Linked DNA regions of Drosophila melanogaster. The protein of the gene in region 1 interacts with the protein of each later gene in a pairwise test. Each region holds a gene or a part of one and is shown on either strand. Other genes may lie near its edges.

The links.
Region 2: the proteins of LManVI (region 1) and CG16972 interact in a two-hybrid assay, tested with the Drosophila melanogaster proteins (one large-scale study listed by BioGRID).

What each region holds. Positions count from the first base shown.
Region 1 is NT_033779.5:8,775,150-8,785,545, forward strand, and holds LManVI (lysosomal alpha-mannosidase VI), read right to left. Parts: upstream 6,104-10,396; 5' UTR 6,038-6,103; coding exon 5,954-6,037; intron 5,708-5,953; coding exon 5,337-5,707; intron 5,276-5,336; coding exon 4,805-5,275; intron 4,744-4,804; coding exon 3,828-4,743; intron 3,764-3,827; coding exon 2,582-3,763; 3' UTR 2,512-2,581; downstream 1-2,511. Other genes in the region: LManV (lysosomal alpha-mannosidase V), read right to left, coding at 4-474, 534-904, 967-1,047; CG42710 (uncharacterized protein), read right to left, coding at 6,748-7,254.
Region 2 is NT_033779.5:13,195,323-13,207,844, forward strand, and holds CG16972 (uncharacterized protein), read right to left. Parts: upstream 7,974-12,522; 5' UTR 7,679-7,973; coding exon 7,222-7,678; intron 7,087-7,221; coding exon 5,389-7,086; intron 5,333-5,388; coding exon 3,281-5,332; intron 3,222-3,280; coding exon 3,023-3,221; intron 2,961-3,022; coding exon 2,234-2,960; 3' UTR 1,780-2,233; downstream 1-1,779. Other genes in the region: Edem2 (ER degradation enhancer, mannosidase alpha-like 2), read left to right, coding at 1-82, 259-357, 428-949; Pect (phosphoethanolamine cytidylyltransferase), read left to right, coding at 8,868-8,950.

The DNA.
Region 1 (10,396 bases):
TACTTGATCAGTTTGTCCATGTTCTTGTAGTTAACCTCGGCATCTTCATACTGGAAGTCACCGCCCATTGGAATCATAATGTGGTTTGTGCGGAACTTTTCCGCAACTTGAGCGGCGTAGGCGATGAAATCATCCACCCTTGACTTGACGTTGTTATCGTAACTATCACTGTCAATAATTGGATCGTCGCTGCAGTGAACGTCGAAGCAAAAGCCGGGAGTGTCCCAGTAGAAGGTGTACAGGAGTCCAGTGAAGAGCTTGACTTGGCTCAACGACTCACTGGCATCCCAAATCATCTCTAGAGCCAGATCGTTCATCCGCCTGCCTTTGTCGTTGTGATCCATGCGGGAAAAGAACTCGCCATCGAATCCCATCTGAGCGTAGATAGAGGCTTGCTCACGGGAGTGACCAAAGGGATCGATTTGCCATCCAACACGAGGACGACCACAAACTCCAAAAGTGTCATCGAGGAACCTTTTATGAAAATGGTTTTACAATTTTTTTTCCAAAGAGGTTATACCGGCATAACTTACTTCAATCCGACTGTGAACTGGTCGATCACACTCTGGTAGTTTACGGCAGCTTCATCGTTCATACTCCAGGCTCCATTGATGAACTGAAGGCGACCCTCATTCACCAGCATCTTCACGACTGCCCTCATGGTCTCCGACTGCTCGTTCCACCATTTGGAGAAGAAGGATGTCTCCACCTGGATGAACCGACGATCGGGGTTCTTGATCAGCTCGGAGATCACGGTGTCGATGATGTACTGCACTCCAGCGTGCTGAATGTTATTCCTGTGGCCATAGTAGTACTGATCAACGGTCTTCAGCCAGCCCACATCGTCGTGGGAGTGGGGCACCAAGTGTATGTTGATCATGTTTGACTTGGTTTCATGGCAAGACTAAAAAACAATAAGTATTTTATTAGTTTAAACAATTCGTGTAAAAGGATCCTTTTCCTCACCTCATAGCCACAAACAGCTTGGGCTGACTTAGCTTGAAGGGCCAAAAAGGCAACGCAAAGGACGATGCCCAGGAACTTCATTGTGGTATTCCTCTATCTTACAAATCGATGTAACTGATGGTTCCAGGTTAGAACCACAACTGAATTCTTATGTTTTGAAAACTGGCCCATTTATATCAGAGATTGGTGATAAGCAATCGGTACTTGAATGCATTATCGGATTACGTAAGCTCAAGCGCACTTAAAATTCAGTTAAGTGTATTTTAATCATAATGGTTTAATGACGCCTGCGCTTCGATCAATGGTTTAACTTATAAACAAATGAACCTTATTGCTACTACTGGTCATTATTGAACTTGTATCTTAATAGGCCTCCATAAAAGATTGCTTCTGTTTTGACAGAGTTGCAGTGCTAATCTGCTGATTAGTAATATCAATTTGTAGTTGCCGATTGCATCCAAAAGACCATTTATGGGTTTGTACTAGAAATTATCAGAAGGTATCATGCTCTATAGCAACACATTAGTTACTTTTATTTGGAAATTGGAAAGACCCACGCAAAGTGGTAGTGAGATACAGTGAAGTATCAAGGCTAACGATAGAATAATCCAAAGCCAACAAACCACTCATGGTGACCTGAATTCTCCTTAGCAGCAAAGCACTTATGCGACTATCGTGGATTCTTGTTTTCAAGTTTCTACTAATGTTAGTTCTAAGCTACAAAAGTAGAGATCCAAAATATTTAAATTCTAAATAAAGAAGGAGACTTAAAAGATTTAACGTGCTAGATCTCCCGGACAGATATTAAGTATTAAAACATGTTATGCATAGAGTATGAGGTAGTAGGGATTAATGGATAGAAATAGTTAACCATTAATCCCTACTGTTAATTTAAGATTAATTATAAAATATACTTATTGTCATACTTTTTTAGAACAGATTGCAAATAAAAAGAGAGAAAAAAAAAATAAATTCTAGCGTTATCTAGGCGTTCCATTTAAATTTTCATATATTTAAGACGTAATGTAGTCCTGTCAGGGCTTTCCATTCTAATCTTTTTATATTTATGACGTAATGAAACGAAAAATGCCTAAGACACGATCCGCACTTTATAGCATACGGATACTAAATAATCTGTGGGGAATCAAGTTTACAAATAGTTTAACGATAAAAATATTTTTTGAGTTAACCTTAGTTTACTTGAAACGGAATTTATATTTCGAATAATACGAAATCAACACTTAATTCTAATCTGATTTTATTTATGCAAAAAAATTAATAAAAATAAATTTCAGTCGAATAATAGACCAAAGGAATATATGCTGCATAGTGAGTTTTATTTGGCATTAAAACTGAAGTTTTATATATTTACGTTTTAATAAACGTCAAATTGAGGAGTCTATATTAGCAGCGATTGCCCGAACATCAAACATTTCCTTTCTTTAGCCATGATAAAGTTTAGCTAATCAGTTTCCTAATATCAATAAAATATATTGTCCATAATTAGACCCTTAATTCTGTAAATAATTAACCAACGAAGGCTTTAGATTTTCGACATTGAATTTATTTATTAAATTATTTACATTTCATGAAATACTGCATTGAGAACGTTGGTTTACTCCGTCTTGATAATGAATGTACGGATCTGCATTGGGTGCAAGGTGACGCTGAACTCGGAGGCCTCCTGGGACTGCTCAGCAGCCAGTGGCTTGTGGGCGGAGGTGAAGTACTCAACAGCATCTGGCTTCTGTCCCGAGCTGTCGTGGTGGAACTTGAAGCGCTTCATGTCACTCAATGGCAAGTTGCCGTCCAAGGTAGTCTCGCGAATTTCGACACCGTTCAAGTAGTCAAAGATCGGGCGAATGTTGAAGCTAACCACTTGGCCCTCGGTGTGATCCAAGAAGTTCTCCACACGTAGCAGAACCTCATCGTCGTTGAAGGGCTCCAGAGTGAGCAGATGCACCGACTTGGGGAAGTCGTTAAAGCTGGGAACGGACTTGGCAGCAGCCGTGGTGCTTCCAGTGTTCTTGCTGAAGAACTTCCAGAAGGGCAGGTGGATCTCCTTCTCGGCTTCGCGTTCCGCGGCGGTGGACTCATCGCTGGGGCTGAGAATCAGGTACACCTTTCCACGGGCAATCATGGGCTGGCCGTACTTCTCCTCGTTCAAGGCCTCTCCCACTCCATAGCCATCATCACGGACGAGACGACGGTGCAGCATGAGCTCCAATTGACCGTTAAGCATACTGGCTCCTCCCTGAGCACGATCGTTCAGGACGGCAATACGCTTCTTGCTGTCCTGCAGAGCAATGCGGGATGTGACCGGGTAGTAGTTGGCTGCAGTTGGCTGCCTGTCCAGACCGGGAGTGAAGGTCTCACGCTGGTCCTTCACACGCTTGATCATCTCACGGCCATTGGAGTCGGTGTAGGAAACGCCGTCGGAGGCAATGGTACTATTGAAGATGATAACCACTTCCCTGCCAAACTCTTCTTCCCGCTCAATGGGTCCAACCTGCCACTCGATCTCCACAAGGTTCTTGCCCTCGTAGATGCGGATAACCTGGGAAATGTACTCGCTGAACTGCTGGTGGACTTCCTTGACCAATGCTCCATCATAAACGGTGAACTCAACACCTTCGTACTGGACGATGAAGTCAGCCTGGTGATATTGACGGAAGACGTATGCACCGGAGTCATAGGTCCTGTAGACACCGTAGCTCTGGTCGATGTTCTCGGATACTCCGTTCATTTCGACAGTCTTCAGAAGACCAGTTTTGTTGTCGATCACCAGTTTGACTTGCTAATAAAGGTAGGAATCAAAATGTTACTTTAGATACAAAATTAACTGAAAATCATTAACATACCGAAGTCTGCACCACAGTCTCTCCTTCATCGTCGTCAAAGGTCTCAGTGGCATTCTTCAGTGAGTGAACCTTCTTGAAACGCTTAGGCACCTCCAAGTTAGCTTCTTCAGCCTTGATGGACCTCTTCGATTTAGTGTGTGCAGCGACGTTCTTTGTCTCCTGGCTGGCGACCTTCTTAATGTAGTAGTTAGCGATCTTATCAACGGAAGCCTTAAAGACCAGCTCATGCTGGGTATCATTGTTGCGGAACTCCAGGGCCAGGACCTGCCAGGCAACTGGAACCACTTCGGAGGCCACCACACGGCCCTTCTCATCGGTCACCTCGTAGTTCTCGTTCTTTACAGGCACGCGCACATACTGGGTAGAAGTGTGGGCCAATGGGTTGTACAGGGTCACCACCACGTTGTCGGCATCGTCCTTGGTGAAGGCGCACTCGCTGATGTTCAACTGCAGGCAACTCTCGAACTCTCCGTTGGGAAGATTGGTCAGCTTGCGCAGACCATCGCGAGCAGTGTTAACTCCTCCGAGGATGGCATCATACAAAATGCGATCATAGTCATCGGATACATGCTGCTTCTCGGTTCCAGTGATGGCATCGTGGTGCTGCATCACACCCATGATCTCGCGAAGGTACTCCAGGTCCTCCTTCTGTTGCTTGGTGTTCAGCTCGGCGAAGACACTGAGCTGCTTGGCCACCTGCAGGATGTGGTTGCCATCGCGTTCGAAGCGCTTCTGGGTGGGACGCGAGGTGAAGTATCCGGTCCAGTAGCTGTTGTCGTCACTGCCATAGGGGAAGAAGTCCTGGGTCTTGTTGGGCCAGGTTTGGAGACCTTCATGGAGCGAGTTGAGGTAGCAAGCGGGGGTGGAGTAGAAAAGGTTGAAGGTGGAGCCCTCGGCCTGACGCTCATTAACGTACCTAGGGGTGGAGTCAAAAGGATGAGTATGGGTAAGCAATCATCCAGATCCTCAGCACTTACTTGATGAGCTTGTCCATGTTCTTGAAGTTGACCTGGGCATCTTCGTACTGGAAGTCATCACCCATGGGGATCATGATGTGGTTAGACCGGTAGTGCTGGGCCACCGAAGTTACGTAGCTAAGGAAGTCATCCACGCGGGACTTGACGTTGTTGTCGTAGCTCTTGGTGTCAATAATCGGATCGTCACCGCAGTGGACATCGAAGCAGTAGCCGGGAGGAGCCGAGTAATGACGGTACAAGAGGCCAGTGAAGATTTCATCGTTGCTCAACGAATCACTGGCATCCCAGATCATTTCCATGCCCAAGTTGTCGATACGGTCGTTCTTGTCGCGGTGATCCATACGGGCGAAGAACTCTCCATCATATCCCATCTGAGCGAAGATCGAGGCCTGCTCACGGGAGTGACCGAAGGGATCGATCTGCCAACCAATGCGGGGACGGGCGCAGGAACCGAAGGTGTCGTCCAGGAATCTGGTATAAACATATAACCATTAGATTCCTGACATTATAACCCCTCTTTTGCAACACTTACTTCAATCCCAAGGTGAACTGATCGATGACACTCTGGTAGTTTACAGCGGCCTCATCGTTCATGCTCCATGCTCCACCGGTGAATTCCAAACGACCCTCGTTGACCAGTTTCCTCACGACCTGCTTCGCAGTCTCCGACTGCTCCGCCCACCATTTTGCGAAGAAGGAGGTCTCCACCTGAATGAAGCGACGGGCGGGATCCTTGATCAGCTCAGCGATTACGGTATCGATGATGTACTGGACACCAGCGTGCTGAATGTTACTCCTGTGACCATAGAAGTACTGATCGACGGTCTTCAGCCATCCGACATCGTCGTGAGAATGGGGCACCATGTGAATGTTGATCATGTTCGTCTTGGTTTTGGGGCATGCCTGAAAAGCATTATAAACGTTGAATGGTTTAGTTGTTTGTTAGTCCATAGTATTTAATGGTTGAAAACAAAATCGGTTTGATGATTAGCAACCTGAACATTAAATGTCATGTTCATTAAGCATTTTTGTTGCCGTTTTTTGAGCATAAAGGAATGTAAATTTATTTAATCACTTTCACGGTATTTACATCCTTTTCAAATTTCACATATATTCTATTCCTGTCGCATTCTGGCATTCACTTCTCACCTCGTATCCACAAGCCTCCTCAGATGGCCTCACACTGATGGCCAAAAGGGCCACAAAAAGCACAATGCCGCACAAATACTTCATGGCGACGACTTTACAATTTGTTTTCGAACTGACCGCGAATACAGTTTCGATTCGAGAACAGAACTGACTTTCTTTAGAAATTGGAACTGCTTTTATAGGAGGGCCCCACACGGTTTTAGCCTGATAAGCAATCACTTTAGACCCTCGAGAGGCTTGTGCTAAGGCTTAAGGCCAATAAAACGGTTTAACGATAACCAAAAGCTTAGGTAAAACCTGATACTCTAACTACGAAGTTCAAGTTCAGTGTATTCGCGATCGCCAGTCAATGCATATCTTAATTGGTATCTTAATTGGTTCTAATCGCTGCCTTGCGATTAGTAAAATGAGTTCCCATTGACGATTACTCGATGGTACTTCTTATACAATGTTTATGAATTTGTACCAAGGTGTAGTGCCGATTATTATTTCATACAGACCAAGAAATTCAGACCCCAAACGATACTTGGGGGGCTAAAGGTCTATTTTCGGTCTTTTTTAATAGCCCTTCAGGGACCCATGAGTACCTGATTACCTTGAGGAGTGTTTTGAATATTAGGACCACATTCAAATGATTTGAATTTGTTATCATAAACACCCAATCAGTAATCGCAATCAATTAAGAGTTTTGTTTTTGATTAAAAATAAAAATTATGTCATTTTTATTTGAATGCACACTTTACAACAGTATAATTCGAAACATTATAAGCTAATTTGGGTACTGAAAAATTATGTTACCCAGTTATCCAGGATGTAAGGTATTCCATAAAGCAGTGAAATATTGTTAAATGGGTATTGTATGACAAGCCGAGGGCAAAGACTTGATTTAAATCGATTCCAAAATGGGACAGTATCTTTCTGAAGAGAATATTTGAGGCCGCAATGATCACCGGCTTCAGACGCTTTAAACTGGACCAGGGTAATGGCATTATTCTGGGCAGAAAGATAATCACAGTCGGCATTTCGTTATCACCGATCCGGGGAATGACGTGGTGTCCATCGCCAGCACCAGATAGGTCAATGCTCGGCTCTTGTGGTAAGGGCACCACTTCCAAGTCCGTAGTCTCTTCTCGGTATTGCCGTTGTGAGAGGGGCACTAATTCCACATTTGGGTCGTTGATTTGTTGACGATTCTCTTCTGGGCGTAGAAAATCAACTATGTAGGCCCAGTGCACGCGAAGTTCAGTCGGTATGCCAATCATATACAGATAAGGTTCATCCAGATCTACAAGTTCTTCCATTATCTTAGCTCAATTCGATTCGCACTAACAATTTTGGATTCCTCAAATACAGATTTTTTTGTTCTATATTTGTACTCAAAATAGATGTAAATAGATGTCAAGGGAAAAGGATATCTGACTTTTACTAAGTTTATACTAGTGGCAAGTATTTAAATATATGGGCATTATTATTCGTTGATCAAGCCGAATCAAACGCACTAATGAAAGACCTGAAAGAACTTAATGAGATAAAATATATTCAACTTTTAATGAGTCTGCCGACCATATAAAGACATATTTTTTAATGAAGCAAAAACGGCAATTATGCAGCACATTCGTATTTATGCACATATCCCTTTTCGCAGTCAACACTATTGCGAATGACGATGATTGCATAAAATCGCTTAAATGCAAAACTCATTAAAATAATTGCAAAATGCAAAAGTATAACAAACACATGGAAGTCGACGTCCCAGACCGCCAGCGAACACTGAGTACAGTAAACACACAGCGAACGGCACACACTCATTAAACCAACCATAAATAATTAACAAAACAATTTATTTTCAAGGATATAACCGGGTTGGGGTGGACATGGACCCAGTCTCAGTCTCCGTCTATAATTGCGTCGCATTATCCCTTCAGCCAGTGAGACTGCACTGCCTGCACTCGCGTATGCAAACTTCAAAGCTCATTTATGTGGCCGCTTGTCTGCGTCGATGCCAAGATGAAAAGCCAAAAAGTACATGGGACAAATATGGGCAAAAAAAAAAAAACATGAAAAATAAAAAAAAAACAGGAAAGCAAAATTGTGCTGACAAACAAACAGCGTCTAAAAGTCAACAAACCATGGGGCCCAGGGCTGACTGTCGTTGGCTACTGATGCGCGATATCTGAAAACACTTAAGCAGTCCACACACATGACGCATACGCCGTGTGTGCGGGTGTAGTTTGCGAGTCATTAAAAGCAAATAACCTCAAAGCAATGAGCTGCCGCTTCTCTCGGTCTCTGGACCACTTGAGCCCCATAAACGCTGGCTAGCTGGCTGGCAAAAAGAAAGCCAGCATGGCTTTCCTCATGGCCATGTCCAGTTGGGGTTCACAGGATAAACACCCCATCAGCCCAGTTGTCCGCAAACACTTTTGTAATTAATTGCGCATGGCCAGCGCAAATGTCAGGACCTCAGTGTTCCGGCCAGAGATCTCCGCCTTAGATCCACTCAAAAGTCATCCAATGCGTTGGTCAAAGGTGGTTCCGCACGCCACGCAACATTACAGGGATGAATTACGGAGCCTTTCGAGCGGTAAACGGATGCGAAAAAGATTAATGGGCTTATGATTTTTCTTAGATTTCTTTGTGGTTTTGATTTATTTAGCTTAAAATAAATGAGACGCTCCAAGTTGAAATTGTGGACACAATTCACAAGAAATAAAATCATTTACTACTTTTATTATTTATATTGATTTTACAATTCAAAAGTTGTTTTGTTCTTTTGCATGGGCCTGTTGTCCTTCTCTAAACGAGTTTAGCATAATTAATTGCCTTGTCGAAATGTGTGCAAATGGAGCACGCTGCAGTGCCGCAGGTCCTGGCTAAGGATCTGCACACCTCCTCATTTCGTTCTTGGCAGGGAACACTTCGCTCCACTCCGGCACTGCAGTAAAATATTGTTTCGTCCTGCTCGAGTATTGCATAATGCAGCAACGTGCATTAAAGGCCTCCTTTGGCATCTGAACTCGCTCGTCCTTGTGAGCATCTCCTTGTCACTGGGGTGTTCTCATTAGCACGACTCGAGTGGATTCGGCCCTGGGGGAACTATTTAGCACACAACGGCGGCAAACGGGGAGCAAATATCAGAATGGAGGCATTCGAGTGTTACAGCAACAATTGCGAGAAGAACTTTGACGATTCTGCAGTACTGGAGCTAATCTGGAACTCAGAGCACTAGGAAAAAGAATTTTTAAAAGTTGTTAAATCGGATATTGAAATTGAAAAAAAATTGCGATTGCTCAGAATAAGATATATTTTAAGAAACTCATTTAATTTCATGAACTTTCTTTGGTGTTTGACCTCATCCACAGCCCTTCGAAGCGTCAATCGGCAGGAGCGTAGGGCAAAGGGGGCTACGGATTCGCCTTGAGATGAGTAATTAAAACATTTTTTACTTTGCATCTTTCTTGCTTGGCTGTTTATGTTCTAGTTGTTTTTGAGCCACGCGCTTCTTACAAGTCAGTTCTGCATTTTCACGGAAAGTCCTATGCCTTTGAAATTATAAAGCATAAATTTCAGATGAGCTTGGGTTGGGCCATGTCAGGCCACAGATCTGCTACTTATGTACATACATTTTGTATTCCAATAATAACTATAATCTAATGAAGTGGCTTGTATTTAAATTTCTGAACCAACTAATTTCCTACGTATTTTTGTTGCCACCTGATCGTTATCTGCATTGTTTGTTATGCCTTATCAAATAGGTAAACAAAACCCAAAGCACTTCAATTTGTCAAAAATTTATTGTTTCGATTTGACGATTGATAATTCTAATGGCACACTTAACCAGAATTATAATGTAATTAAAGATTGCGCCCTTTTAAGCCAACTGATTAGCTGGCGGAAGCGCGTGAAAATGGGAATTAAAAATCGCTTGAATTTGAAAACGAAATCATCGGTTATTATAAAGAAAAGTGATAGGACTATTACTTAATAATAATTTTTTAACCTAAAACTTCTACTTAGAGACCATTGAGATCCCTGTAATTTGGTTACTTTGTTTAGGAGTTGCTTGAAATTTCCGTTGATTCAACTTTCGTTGCAAGTAGCGCATTCCTCAACTACTTAAGCCTAATCTAAACAATTGCCATTTTCCTTGGCTGCACCCGCAAAGTGTTGGCCTCAAGTGCAGTTGGTTCTGTTGCAGCAACGAGTTTCGTTTTCCTGCTGCTCCTAATGTCGTTTTTCTATTTCTCTCTTTTTTTCTGTCACCTGTTTCAACACTTGAAATGTGACGGCAGCCGCCAAACAACCTAATTAGTATGCAAAACACATTAAGTGGCAGCCAACTACGTTGCCGCAGTACTCAGTACTCATGGCACAAAAAAAAAAAAAAAACGAGAAAAGCGGACGCGGATTGGGTGGTGCTGTAGGATTACCTCGTCGGAGGCA
Region 2 (12,522 bases), 4.4 Mb from region 1:
TGTTTACGACATGGGCATTACCATGGTTTCGGTAGGCGACCGCAGCCAAGGCAAGGTGCGACTGTTTCATAGTTTCTATAATGTAAGTTTTTTTCTGTTCTGCTTTTTGGTTTCGTTTGCATTTAGTTTGACACTCTGGTTGGTAACCATTGTGCCACCAGTTCCTCCTCGATCTTTCGCTTCCTACTCTTCCTTCTCATCATCATCAGCACACAGATCGTAGAAAAAATATAATAATATAAATTCGACTTTATTCAGGCCAAAAGTCACGAGGAGGGCGAAATGGGACTGCAATTTATGCAGGAGATGCTTGAGCTGACCAAGATGCAAAGCATAAATCAGCTAGCGCAACTGCAGGTTTGCATGCTTTATACATTTTAAATGGAAATCATCATAATGATATTTGAAATGGTTTTCTCGTTTATAGGCCGTTGCCTACGCCACTGACGAGAACTCACAGGATTGGATCGCACTGATGGCCGGGCCGTCGCACTTTAGCCCAGAGTTAACTGGCGATCAGTTCGTCGAAGGGGACGTGATTCTGGCCAAGCCGCTACGAGCATGCGATGAGAGCCTAGAGAACGCCGAGGAGGCGAAAGGAAAGGTCCTGGTGGCCGAGCGCGGCGATTGCACGTTCGTTAGCAAAGCGCGACTGGCCCAGAAGGTGGGGGCGGCGGCGCTGATTGTCTGTGATAATGTTCCGGGCTCTTCCGGTGAGACGCAGCCGATGTTCGCAATGTCTGGCGACGGCAAGGACGACGTGCTCATTCCAGTCGTATTCATGTACAGCATGGAGTTCGGCAAACTGTCGGCGGTCATGCAGCGACGGAAACAACCTCTGCGTGTTCGCGTCATGCAGATGGTGGAGTTTAAGCGGTGGCAACTGGCCAAGGAGCAGCGCCAGAACCAAACAGCGTCGGTAGCACAGAAACCGGAAAAAGAATTGTAGTGGACTGCTACGGCTGCCGGAGCACCCTCAGCGTTTACTCTTCTTTTGGGGCTTGATACAGCCTTGAAATGGTTCTCGCCAAAATAGAGATATGTATATTCTCTATATTCGTAACGTGTGTACAGTAAGCGAACGTAACTAAATTGGAATTTCCTGTACTTTACTAGACATGTAAGAGCGATTTAATGCCACGAGTTATGGAACTCAGTTTAGGGATCTTTGCATTTCGTGGTTGGTTCTCAGGCAGGCAATTGGCTTCCTAGTGGCTATATTATAACCGAATAGCATCGCATTCGCGTTCATTCTAATTGTATATTTGGTCCACCTCACAATTTTTTCGATGGATTTTACTTTTTTGATGTAAGTAAAACTTCTGTATATAAAAACTTAGAACTTAGAGACTAACAAAATCGTAAATAATGATTAGTTTTAAGAAGTTAGTTTATAGGGTAGACAGTCGGAATTGATCGACAACAGAGTAGTTGAAATTGATTAGATATTATACAAAATTAGTTTAAAATATACGAACTATAATTAAAAACCAAAGGCATTTTCGTTTTATCATTAATACTCAAGAGCCAGCTATGATTTTACCCCTGAGATCTTATAGGATTAACCTTCCCTTGTACTCCAATACACGAAGATCTCGGTGACCGGCTCATCCATATAATCAAGATTCAACTGAAGTAAAAAACCAACTTCGTTAGGATGCGAGTCCAAAGGCAGTCTCGAAATCCGTGATCGAGTATTATAAACCAAATTATTGTGGATGACAACATATCTGTGAATCGACTAGATGCAATTGATGCAAACAAAAACGTTGTATTTTTAATAGATTTCCGTTTTAATGACATTAATTTCTTTCCATTTTGGTGTTTCCATTAATCTTAAAAATATGACAAATTTACTACTTCAGTCGATAGTAGCAAATCAAACAGTTGAATTCATATGCCTAAAACTACGATAGCTTAAGCTAGTTTTGTTTTTCTTTTAGAAAAAATAAAAAGAACGAAAGAAACAAAAACACTTATTTCAAAATAGCGCATAATAAAGGCTACTACTCTCCGACTTACTTACGACTAAAATGATTGTTAGGACTACAGGGCTTAACACGCAACTTATTATAGTTTCCTATATTTGAACTATACTTGGGCAGACAGCCAAAAGCACATTTATAGATCGGGTATTCTGGGTGATATTCAAACATGGGTTTGTGTGAAAAAAAAAAACAAAAACTTTGTTCAAGGCCGAGACTCTCCACATTTCTAGTTCCGCGACACAGGTCTACGCCGATTGGGTCTGCTGGACAGCCAATTTCAACATGTGATTGGCGATACTATCTACAGTTAGGGATTGCGGGGACATCTCGATCACTTGGGACTTGTGGCGGGCATAAAAACGCTGAGCTCCATTGATTTGCGGCGCCAAATAGGTTAGCTGTCTCGGATCGGCGGCACTTATCCAGGCTTCGTCGTTCGATGCTGACTTGATGATCAGATGATCACCGGTGTTAACGCCCTCCGTGGCATCGTCGAATTGCGGCGATGGTAAGCGGTGGACCTGCAGCAGGCGGTGCGAGGGCGTGGCATGGGAAAGCTCACAGGCGATCACATGCACCTCAGACGGTTTGTTTGGTTCTTTAAGCAGCTGATAAAGCACCAGCATGCTGCTTTGGTCCAAGTCGAGGCTAGGATAGTGCGTAGCAGCCAGGCAACGGCCCAGCGGCCGGCCCAAGTCGTAGTTCATCAGAGTATCGCCGCTGCGATGATCCCAGACGGTGATGCGCATCTGGCCGTAGCCGATAAGGCGATCCTCTGAAAGGCACTCAATGTGACGCAGCTCGTGGCGCAACTGCTTAAACTCCCGTATGGAGGCCAGCGTATCCAGCGTGGGCGTCAGTGAATATTTGCAAATGCCCGAGCGCGACTTGCCCATCACCAGTTCCTGCTGCCATGCCATAACGAAGTAACGCGAATCCGCTATAGTTGTGTATATGACATGCGGCCATTCGCTAAATAACGAAAGTTGTAGGTTACGTCATTGAATTTATGCATACTGCGTGATAGTCCTCACCAATTGACAGCATCCAAGTGCACAGAGTGCATACGGGGTCGTAGTTCCTCCTCGCAGAAGTAATACACATTCACATGTAGCGAGGTTAGCTTCACCTCCCTCTTGTGATGGTCCAGCGGCCTGCTTCGCATTTCCAGGTACACCGGCGTCGAATTGTGCACGCAAATGCGGCTGCCAAACGGCGTAAAGATCTCTTTCTCTGTAATGCATCAAAGAGGCTAGAAAGATTCGTAAAGTGTATAAATGATCATAACCCACCGCTAGTCAGGCGCCGCACTCTGCCCAGGTAAACCCATCGCGGGCCCATTTTCAACTCCTGCTCGACGTCTTTGGGCTCGCGCGAAGGTGTTTGAGGCAGCTTTGGAGATGGAGATTTTCTGGCGCCATCAAAGGAGGGATTATGTCGCGGTTGATGCAGCACGTTGAACACTTTGGAGTACTTCCAGAAGGTAATGCAATTCTCCTGCAGCACAATGAGCTGTTCCAGCTCGTAGTACATATAGAGAACCTGGCCGTGCTTGGCAGAAAGTGGATTTGCTAGCGTCGCGGATCCCTGACTGAGTCGCAGCAGGCCCCCAGGAGGGGTGGCCAGGACTAAGTCAGCTGGATTGACTTTTCCGGCTTGCTGGCGAGGGCGATGTGGCTCCGTATTCGGTGGCGGTGTTGTTGGGGATGGCGGGTAAATAAGCACGGGCTGTGCATAAGGCGATTGAGCGACGGAGGGGGAATGAACGAAGGTCTTGTCAGCGGCTTCTTTGGCTGTGGAGTTGACCAGATGGCTGTGTGTAGGCGCGAATGTGTTGGGCACTTCTGGTGCCAGGTCAGCGAGCCTCAATACATTGGCATTAGGAACGGCTGCCACAGGCTCAGTCACCCTTTCAATATTCGAAGGCAGTGACTTGGCTCGTGCTCGCTTGGTCCGTTTAGTAAGGCGACTAGATTTCATTGCACTTGTCGTGTCAGTTTCAGTCTCCTTGACACCTTTCATCTTTCGGGGAGAGTTTGGCGGAGCCAATTGCTGTTGCTCCAAGCGATGTTGCTCAGGAAGACTTTTATCTGCCGGCTTCTTTAACGACGTCCGTGCTGCCTTGGGCATTGGAGCCTTTTTGGTGGTTTGTGCTGCACCGCCAGCCATCCGTTTCGATCGTCCCTGAGCCATTTCGTCCGACAGGGCGTAGCTCTTGAGCAGACTAACCTTGCGGCTACGAAGTAGCTTCGAATTAAGATGCGTGGTGGAGCGGGTAACCAAATCGCGTGCACGTGCTTCGTTCCCGAGACTGGATGCACCCATTGTAGTGCGGCGTCGTGGTGTAGCGGCAACAGGTTTGGTGGCTCCATGGGTTTTCCTATGTTTTGATTTTTTGGGTGTATCAACTGGTAAGGGGGCTGGAGTTTCCTTATCTGGACTGGTTATTGTAGGACTTTTCTTCGCTGGCTGGGAAATGACAGAAGGATGCGGCGCGCTTACGTCACCAAAGCCGCCGATTAAGTTCAAGGGCGCCGGTGAGATGTGAGACTCCTGCCTGCTGTGTGATGGATTCGGGGGCGAGGCATTGCTTGTAGCCTTAATAATATAAATTGATGGCTTCGTCTCACGCGCCTGGCGCAAGCGTTGCTGCATGCTCTCCAGCAGCTTGGATTGGGCAGGTGCGGCAGCCTCGAAGATCTTAGTAAAAGCCGCCTCAACGGACTGAACCCGACCCTTCTCAGACTCATTGTCTATCTGATGTTTCTGATAGCCGTCGCCATCAATGATGGATCTATGACGTTGCGGCTCCTGTCCTTTGAGCGATGGACGCCTCTCTACATCCTTTAAGGACTTGGAACTGGCTATAAAGTCGGTGGTTTTGGGTGACCTCTTCGTAGAGCATTCTTCCTCTTCCGCAAAATAAGAGTTGTACAAGTGATTCAGTTTTCGCTTATGCTCTGCAGGCATTTGAGAGTTGAAATGGACATCCGCATCCCCCGCCATCCTTGAAACGGATTCTGATGTCTGAGGCGGGGAGGGTTCTTCTTTATCGGTGCTAAGCTCACTACTTGTGGTCAACGGTATCTTCTTGTCCTTATCCTGCTGCCTATCTCGCTCCCTTTCGCGCCGCTTGCCACGCACATCACTACGCATCCTGTCCAGTTGCTGTTGTGGTCTCACCCGCAGCGATCGGCGAGGGATAGTGCTGTTGGCTAGTTCCCTCATTGCGGTAGCCACGGCATTTGCTGTTGACAGTTCGGTGAGACCCAGATAGTTGCAGAATTCCTGTTGCTCATTCGGATACTTAACGTAAGGCCCCTGATTCCCTTCCATTTGCATCTCTGTAATTTAAATTAACCAATTAAATTTGCAATAAAATACAAATAAAAAGTCTTACGTTGGGGAGCCTGTGGCAGTTCCTCGTAGTGATACATCTGTGGTTGTTGGTTCATCTTTTGCTCCATAAACTGCTGTTGCTGTTGCATTGTTTGCACCTGCTGACGCATAACATCTAATACAGCTTTGGTTAGTTGTTGGTCTTCTGATGGCCCACGGTCGCTTAAGTTCGCCTGCATAAAATCAGTAAGTCCTGCCGGAGCAGTTGGACAAGGTTGAGCATGGGATAAGGATGCGTCTAAATTCGCAGCGGATGAACCCGCCGTTTGAGTAAGCGCGCTTCTCTCCAAGTCTGCTGTAGATGTTTCCTTGGTAAGGTTCCGCTGCTCGAAATTCGGTGAATCCGTGTTCTTTATGTCATCAACAACTGGCAGCACTATCTCTTCTTCCTCCGGCTGTTGATTATCCTGTAGCTCCTCTTCGGGTATCAATGTGGTGACAGAGGCTTTTTCCATGCCGACCACCTCGTAGCAATCGTCGTCATCATCATCTAGCACAATTGTCTCCTCGGTGGGCAGAATGTGCAAATAGCGACGATACACCGGCCGTTCCGCCGACTGAGAGCTGGCAAGCTCTTGAGTGGATTCGTCTGAGGTTTGCATGATTTCACGGCTGATCTTCTCCATATTCCGGACCAGTGCTTCACGGAATTCGGCAAAGTTAAGCTGTTTGAGTGATGCGGTAACAGCCTCATATTGCTTGAAGGCAGCTTCAAAGCCTTCCACATCCTCGACATCGGCCCACTCTTCCCTGGGTGCCGTTTCCCAGTTGGAGACTTTCTCGGCGGGACTCATCTGCGGCTGAGCCTGACAAATGCTTGCCAGTCTTCGATCCATAGCCTCTCCATGGAGCGTATTCTTCATCAGCGGCGGATACTTTCGCTTCAGTGGAGCCACTTTGGATGGAGAGCGGCCGCCCGTTAACTCATCCTCATAGTCGTAGTGGTCACTGGCGTTGGGCATGGAGGATGAGCTGACGGGAAATTCCGTGGGACTGCTGTGTTCGCGAAGCAACTTTCTTTGCGGATTATTTGGCAGCGGCTCCTGTCCCTCGAATGCTACAATGTCGATAGGCTGGGCTGGTTCTTCCTGGATGACTGCGTCCTCGCATTCTTCATCGTCGTGGTCCTCCAGTTCGTGATCATACACCTGACAAATATCTGGGCGTTCCTCCTCCATCGGTGTATCGTCTAAGAATGTGGCGTTTTCGTTTTCCTCCGGAGCCTCGTCGTCGACCAGATCCTGGTGCACTAAAGGCTGTTCTAGCGCTGCATCACTAAGGTACACATTGTTTCCAGCCGCCAATCGTGCCTCGGCCACACCCATATCCTCCACGACCTCCTCGATGTAGGCAGTCCCATTGAGACACTCATTCGCATCACTCTCCTCGGACAGCAAGCCCAGCAATGCACCGGTACCGTTTCCGGCCATCATGATGGCCCTGGCGAACTCCTGCTCGCATGCCACTCCCTGGGTAGCTACTATGATCTCACAGCAGTGTTCTTCTCCTAAAACGACCATGTTCTCTCCATCCACAGCCTCATAGATCACACACTGCTCCCCTTCTTCGGCCACCTGAAGTTCATGTTCAGCCTCATCATTCTCGTGGGACAGCATTTCGAACTGGTCAACATTGCCATTTGTCAGCAGCATGCCGGGGCTTAGTGCAATGCCCGGATCCTGGACAGATTCGGGTGAGTCTAAAAAACAAGAAAAGTATGCGATTGAGTGAGTTTACCATATTAGATATTTCATATTTTCAATTGGGATAAATGTTCATAATCAATTAAATGGAAGAGATTTCCTTGTATAGTTAATGGAACAGATTAACAAACCGTTGATCTCGATGACCTCGTGGCTGCTGTACGAACGTTTTGCCGGTGTGCAGGTGGCCCATACTGGGGCTTGGTGTGTCTCTTCGGTCATCATCATTTGCCGGCGAAGTCCGAATATTAAGGGTTCATTCTGAGGGACGAAACTGGAAGACGGCTGCTCCTCCGGCCAGCCCTTGAAGCCGCTGCCACTCGAGATAAAGCTGTGGGTGTCCGAGTCGTCGGAGATCACGTGCAGGTTGCTGTCCACGGCGGGGTCCAGATCTGCTCCCGTCCTCGAGGATCTGGTGACAGATGCAACAAGATCCGTGGGATACTCCCGATCCTCAGCCACGTCCGATGCGTCGCCTGGAGCTTCGCTGGCCGTATCTATCTCGTCGCCTTCCAGCGGCGAGTACCGGTTCAGTAGGTGTTCCTCCGCCGCTACGTAGGCCATCAGGCTGGCTTCTCTTCTGGACATCGCGTTGGTACGGGGAATGGGATTGGGATTATCTAGCCCTCGTCGACTCGTTTAGTAATTGTGGTAGGATTTCTTGTAAATTTAGCACGTGAAATTTAAAAAATATACTTGATGCTGTCTACAAAACAATGCCCGAACTGACTGTGGACGATCATGATTACATTATCATGGCTTGGTCGGTTTCCTTCGATTGTTATTTTTCGTATATCTGCGTGCTGTGCGTTGTATATTTCTTATTTGATAGGCTTAATATTTTAAGTTGCTTTATCCTGTGTGACCGTGGGAAACACCGTAGTATTATCTCACATCGCCATGGCCAATATGCCTCTTAAAATACCATCGGTATTATTTTTACAGTGGGATCAATCAATAAAATATACCTTTAAAATGAAAAAAAAAATTTTAATTGTGAATGTTATTAGTAGTGTTCGTTGTTTAATTCTATGACACTTTTTTTTTAATAATTGTTGTGACAATATTTACATTTATTTATAAACAAAACACTTTGTTATATCCTAAAATATTATACATTTCATTGGGGTGATCGACTCATAAGGATTTAATAGAGTTAATACCCTTTTAACGTATAATAATACAGATTTGTACTTGCTTAATATAAAAGTTCTAGCTTAGTAACATAAAATTTGCCAATTTAAAGTTATTCCCAATATATCTCGATCAGCTGTTGATGTTTACAAAATCCGCGTTAGCTGGTATTCATCGCACCAGGCATATGGTATATTTGGACAAACACCGATGCGGCCACTCTGCTCTCACGGTACTCGAAATTGTGAGAAAAGAAATGAAAGAATCTAAAAAAAAACCCAAGCTAAACACACCGCACTTACGCCCCAAAGAAGTTCCCATGCGCCCGCGCGCTGATAACGCAAGTCTGAGAATCTGAGACCAATTCCGCTCCGAGTCTGAACGTGAATCCGAGTCCGAAACCGATAACGAAAACTGAACTGAGTAGCTCGGTCGTGAAATGGGAATTGATATATAGCGGGCGTCGTCGTAGCTCAGAACAAATAACTTACAGCTCTCGAAGCGTGAACGTCGCTGTCGTCGAGTTTCCGCCTTCAAAACGAGCACTGAAAACAGAAACATACTCTCCGGAATCTAATGTTCGCCCGTTAGCCGGATTCTAAATTAAAATTAAATTAAATTGTGAAAATTCAATAAGTCAACGATGGAGGCAAATGGCGATACCAGCGCCTGCAATGGGTATTCGGACAAGCAGCGGAAGGATGTGCGCGTCTGGTGCGATGGATGGTGAGTCATCTACATTACATTTAGGGGCCTCCAGGAATTCGGTCCACAATGTCTAACGGTTCTTAGGGCAGCCCATTGCGTCACGTCGTTACTCACCGCTAACGGTAAAGTGAGTCAAAGCATAACCATTCCGCGTCGGTGCCATCGATTCCATGCCACACCACGGCCAACCGAACCCTACTATTTCAATTCCAATTTGGTTTCCAATACCAATAACCGTAATCAGTCGACGATAAACTAAACCCCATTTTTAGGCGTGCTAAGAAGCGTCCAGGGTTCCTCAATTGATTAGCAAATCTTTGTGAAACGGTGCCGTCTCGCTGCCCGTTCCAAATATCCACCCATTGCCGTCGTCCGGCTGAAATGTCTACATAATTCAGGTTCAAGGTCTCTCGGATCCGAAATGTCCATATTCTCCACGCTTGACCGGGACATTTGGCATTATATTTATATTTATACGCTATGCAATCTATTTATAATTGTACGCTTACAGTGGCTATTCTAAAACAGATTACTCAGAGAAAATGTTTAATTTGCCTTTTCCGGCGATACTCGCACTCTTTATGGCGCTTAAGCTAACAACAATACATATATCCCAAATTAGTTTGCACAATAATTAATTGCTATATGTGATAAACCGGGTGTTCGGTTCATCTAATGCATCTATGTATTTTAGATCCGCATATAGATACTATTGACGCACTTTGCCTTGTTTTGGGCACCATCAAATGGTTCTATAGGCATTGCGTTCCCCCATATATATATATATATATAATTATTTGATTCCGTGCAATGCATCATCAGAAACCGGTTTATCTTTATCGGTAATGACGCGTTAGACTGCGATATGGACGGATGGATAGATGGCCTACCATAACAAGTTTGCTTCATTGGGGGACGATAGAAATTTCCTCAATTGTGGCTACCGCCAGTCGGTAAAAATAAAAATATACCCATTGTTTATATGCGCCCTCGCTCTTTCTCTTATTTCCTTGTATTTCTACTCACCGTATAAACAATGGCACACGCCCAACAAGCAAATGTACATACATATATGTGCCATATACATGTGCTCTGGCTAACCCACTGTATCTGAACAGCCTGCCTTTCCTTCCGCTCTTCTGTTTTTGAGGCTTCAGATTTTCGGATGAGGGCTGCGTTTACGTGGCCCTTGTTGACTGTGGCTGCCCGCCGGTCGTCCGTCCGCAAACATCACGTGATTCTGGCATGCGCATGCCCTCCGCCTCGGCGATGGACCCCACACCCCTTTTGCACCACCATCATTGCCATTGCCTCGCCATTGACCCACAATGCTGTCGTCATCGTCTGGCGGTCTTTTGTGTGCCCAATTTAATTGGCATTTCGCTGGGCCTCTCCTGTACTGACTAAATAATCGCAAGGGATCGTCTTTATTTTAAAAGGGTTTTTTAAACCATATCCATTTATTATTAAGAGGTGGTTCAATCTTATAGTATACTTCTGCCTAAGCAAAAACATACATATGGCAAAACTTTTAGAATCCAATTGCGAATGCCCTGAAGCAAGATTAGAAAATGTCACCTAATTTATGGATTTAAACCTAAAACATATACATCATGCTCATTGGCATTTCCGGGTAATTTTGGCAGTCTATGCTCCCTTATGTCCATTGTCAACGGGTCACAGCTCCCTGTCACCAGTGTGGAAGTCCTCTAGCTGCGACAGATAAGAACGACCTACGTAGTCGTGCTCCAATCGCTGAAATTCCACATCAGCTGCTCATGGGCACGAACAACAAGTATAAACATAATATTTGCGTGGAATCTGATGGAATCTGATAACCCATCAGATGGGGAAAGCACGTATGTATGTGGGGCACTTGGACCCAAAAATCATTCTAATCAGCAGAGATTGATCATTGACGCAGGCACAAGTGCTTGGCTTGTCTCCTCCTTTCCACCCAAGTCAATGAACCTCTGCCAGTGGAAATAACAAATGAATGGGAAGCTCTCGTAATAAGAGAGTCCGGGGCCTTAAGGCGGGGCATATATGTACATGTGTGCTGTAGTATAAGATCTATGTATATGGCATACTTTACCCCACCAAGTCAATCCACTTTACTAGGCTCTGGGGTCCGGACGACAGAGCACAAATTCTACGGAGAATCGCGTGATATTTTTTAATCAGCAAACGGGCGTCGGCGTTGCTGTCGCTGGTGTTGTCGCTGCTTTTAGCTCACTCAATTGATTAAGCGGCCCCTGGGTCTGTTCTACATATAGAGTACAACAATGCTAATATGGGTATAGTATGTTCGGCACAGATTTCTTGGTGCGCTGCAAAAAAATCTCCGGGAGCAAAGGTTTCGCTTCGATTAATGAATGGCCCACGTTTTTACTAGCTGCTTTTTATGGTGGTGGTCATCTCTCCGCATTTGTTACTATCTGGGCAAGTCAAGGGACTAGCTGGCATAATCCATCTTTTATTTTTAGGCGTGCATGCAGGGGCATTGCATTTCATTTAAATTTCATTTCAGTTAAAGATCCAGTTTGTTTTGAGTACAACTATTTTCTTGGGAATTCTCTAATCTTCAATGGAAGCAGTACTTAAAATACTTTCCGTCTATCTATTTCAAATGAACTCCTCACAATCGATTACCGAAGAAACCGTCGATGGTGACGGTATTATTTCTTATCACCCGCCATTTAGTTAAGTGGTTACCTTTTGCATGTTATGTTAAAAAATGTTTGCACAAAGCCCGCTGGGTGAATCATTTTCCAAAAGAGCAGGTTTCAATATGAATTATTTTATAAATACTTACAATTACAATGTACCTATGGTGGAAAAAATAAATACCTTCATAATTGGTGTTAAGTGCAATTTGTGCAACGCCTCACGTCCCCCGGATGCTATTATCGCTTTCCCAAGCCAAACAAAAACCAGGCCAGGGCACGTGTGCCTATAACCATAATGCCTAGAATCGGCGGAGAATGTAAACAAGCTGAATGGCGATGTTTGCGTATATGTGGCCACTGAAAAGCTGACGCAGCAGCGTTCATAATTGCAATTAGAATTGCAAAACAACGAGCAGCAAATGCGGTTTTATTGATATCCCCTGTCCCGGTTGCTTCATCCATCTCTCTCTCGGCATTTTTGGCATACCCACTCTGATGATCGAGTCCAAAGATCAATCTCTTGACCAATGCTGGGCAAAAGTGGAGCACACAAACCGCCTCTATAGTCACCGGTGGTCAGTCCGTCAGCTACTGGTCATTAAAAGCACTCGACCAGACATCTTTGACGCGCTTCGACAGCGGTTTATGTAAACTATGTAAATGGCTTGCTCGAACCACTTTATTACTTTATCGTCTGGGGGTCATTAGCAGTACTGCTTCGACCTAGCTTCCACCATTAACTAAATGACCAGGATTCCAGCTGAGCGTCAAGACAAGTGGTTTTTTTTTGTTGGGCCTAAGGTTCATTATACGTATGTATGTATGCACATTCCATGCGATAATTGTTTTTTTTTTTTTTTTTTTTTTTTGGCAAGTCTCGAAGTTAAACACGGCTTATCTTGCGAGCTTGAAAAATTGCTA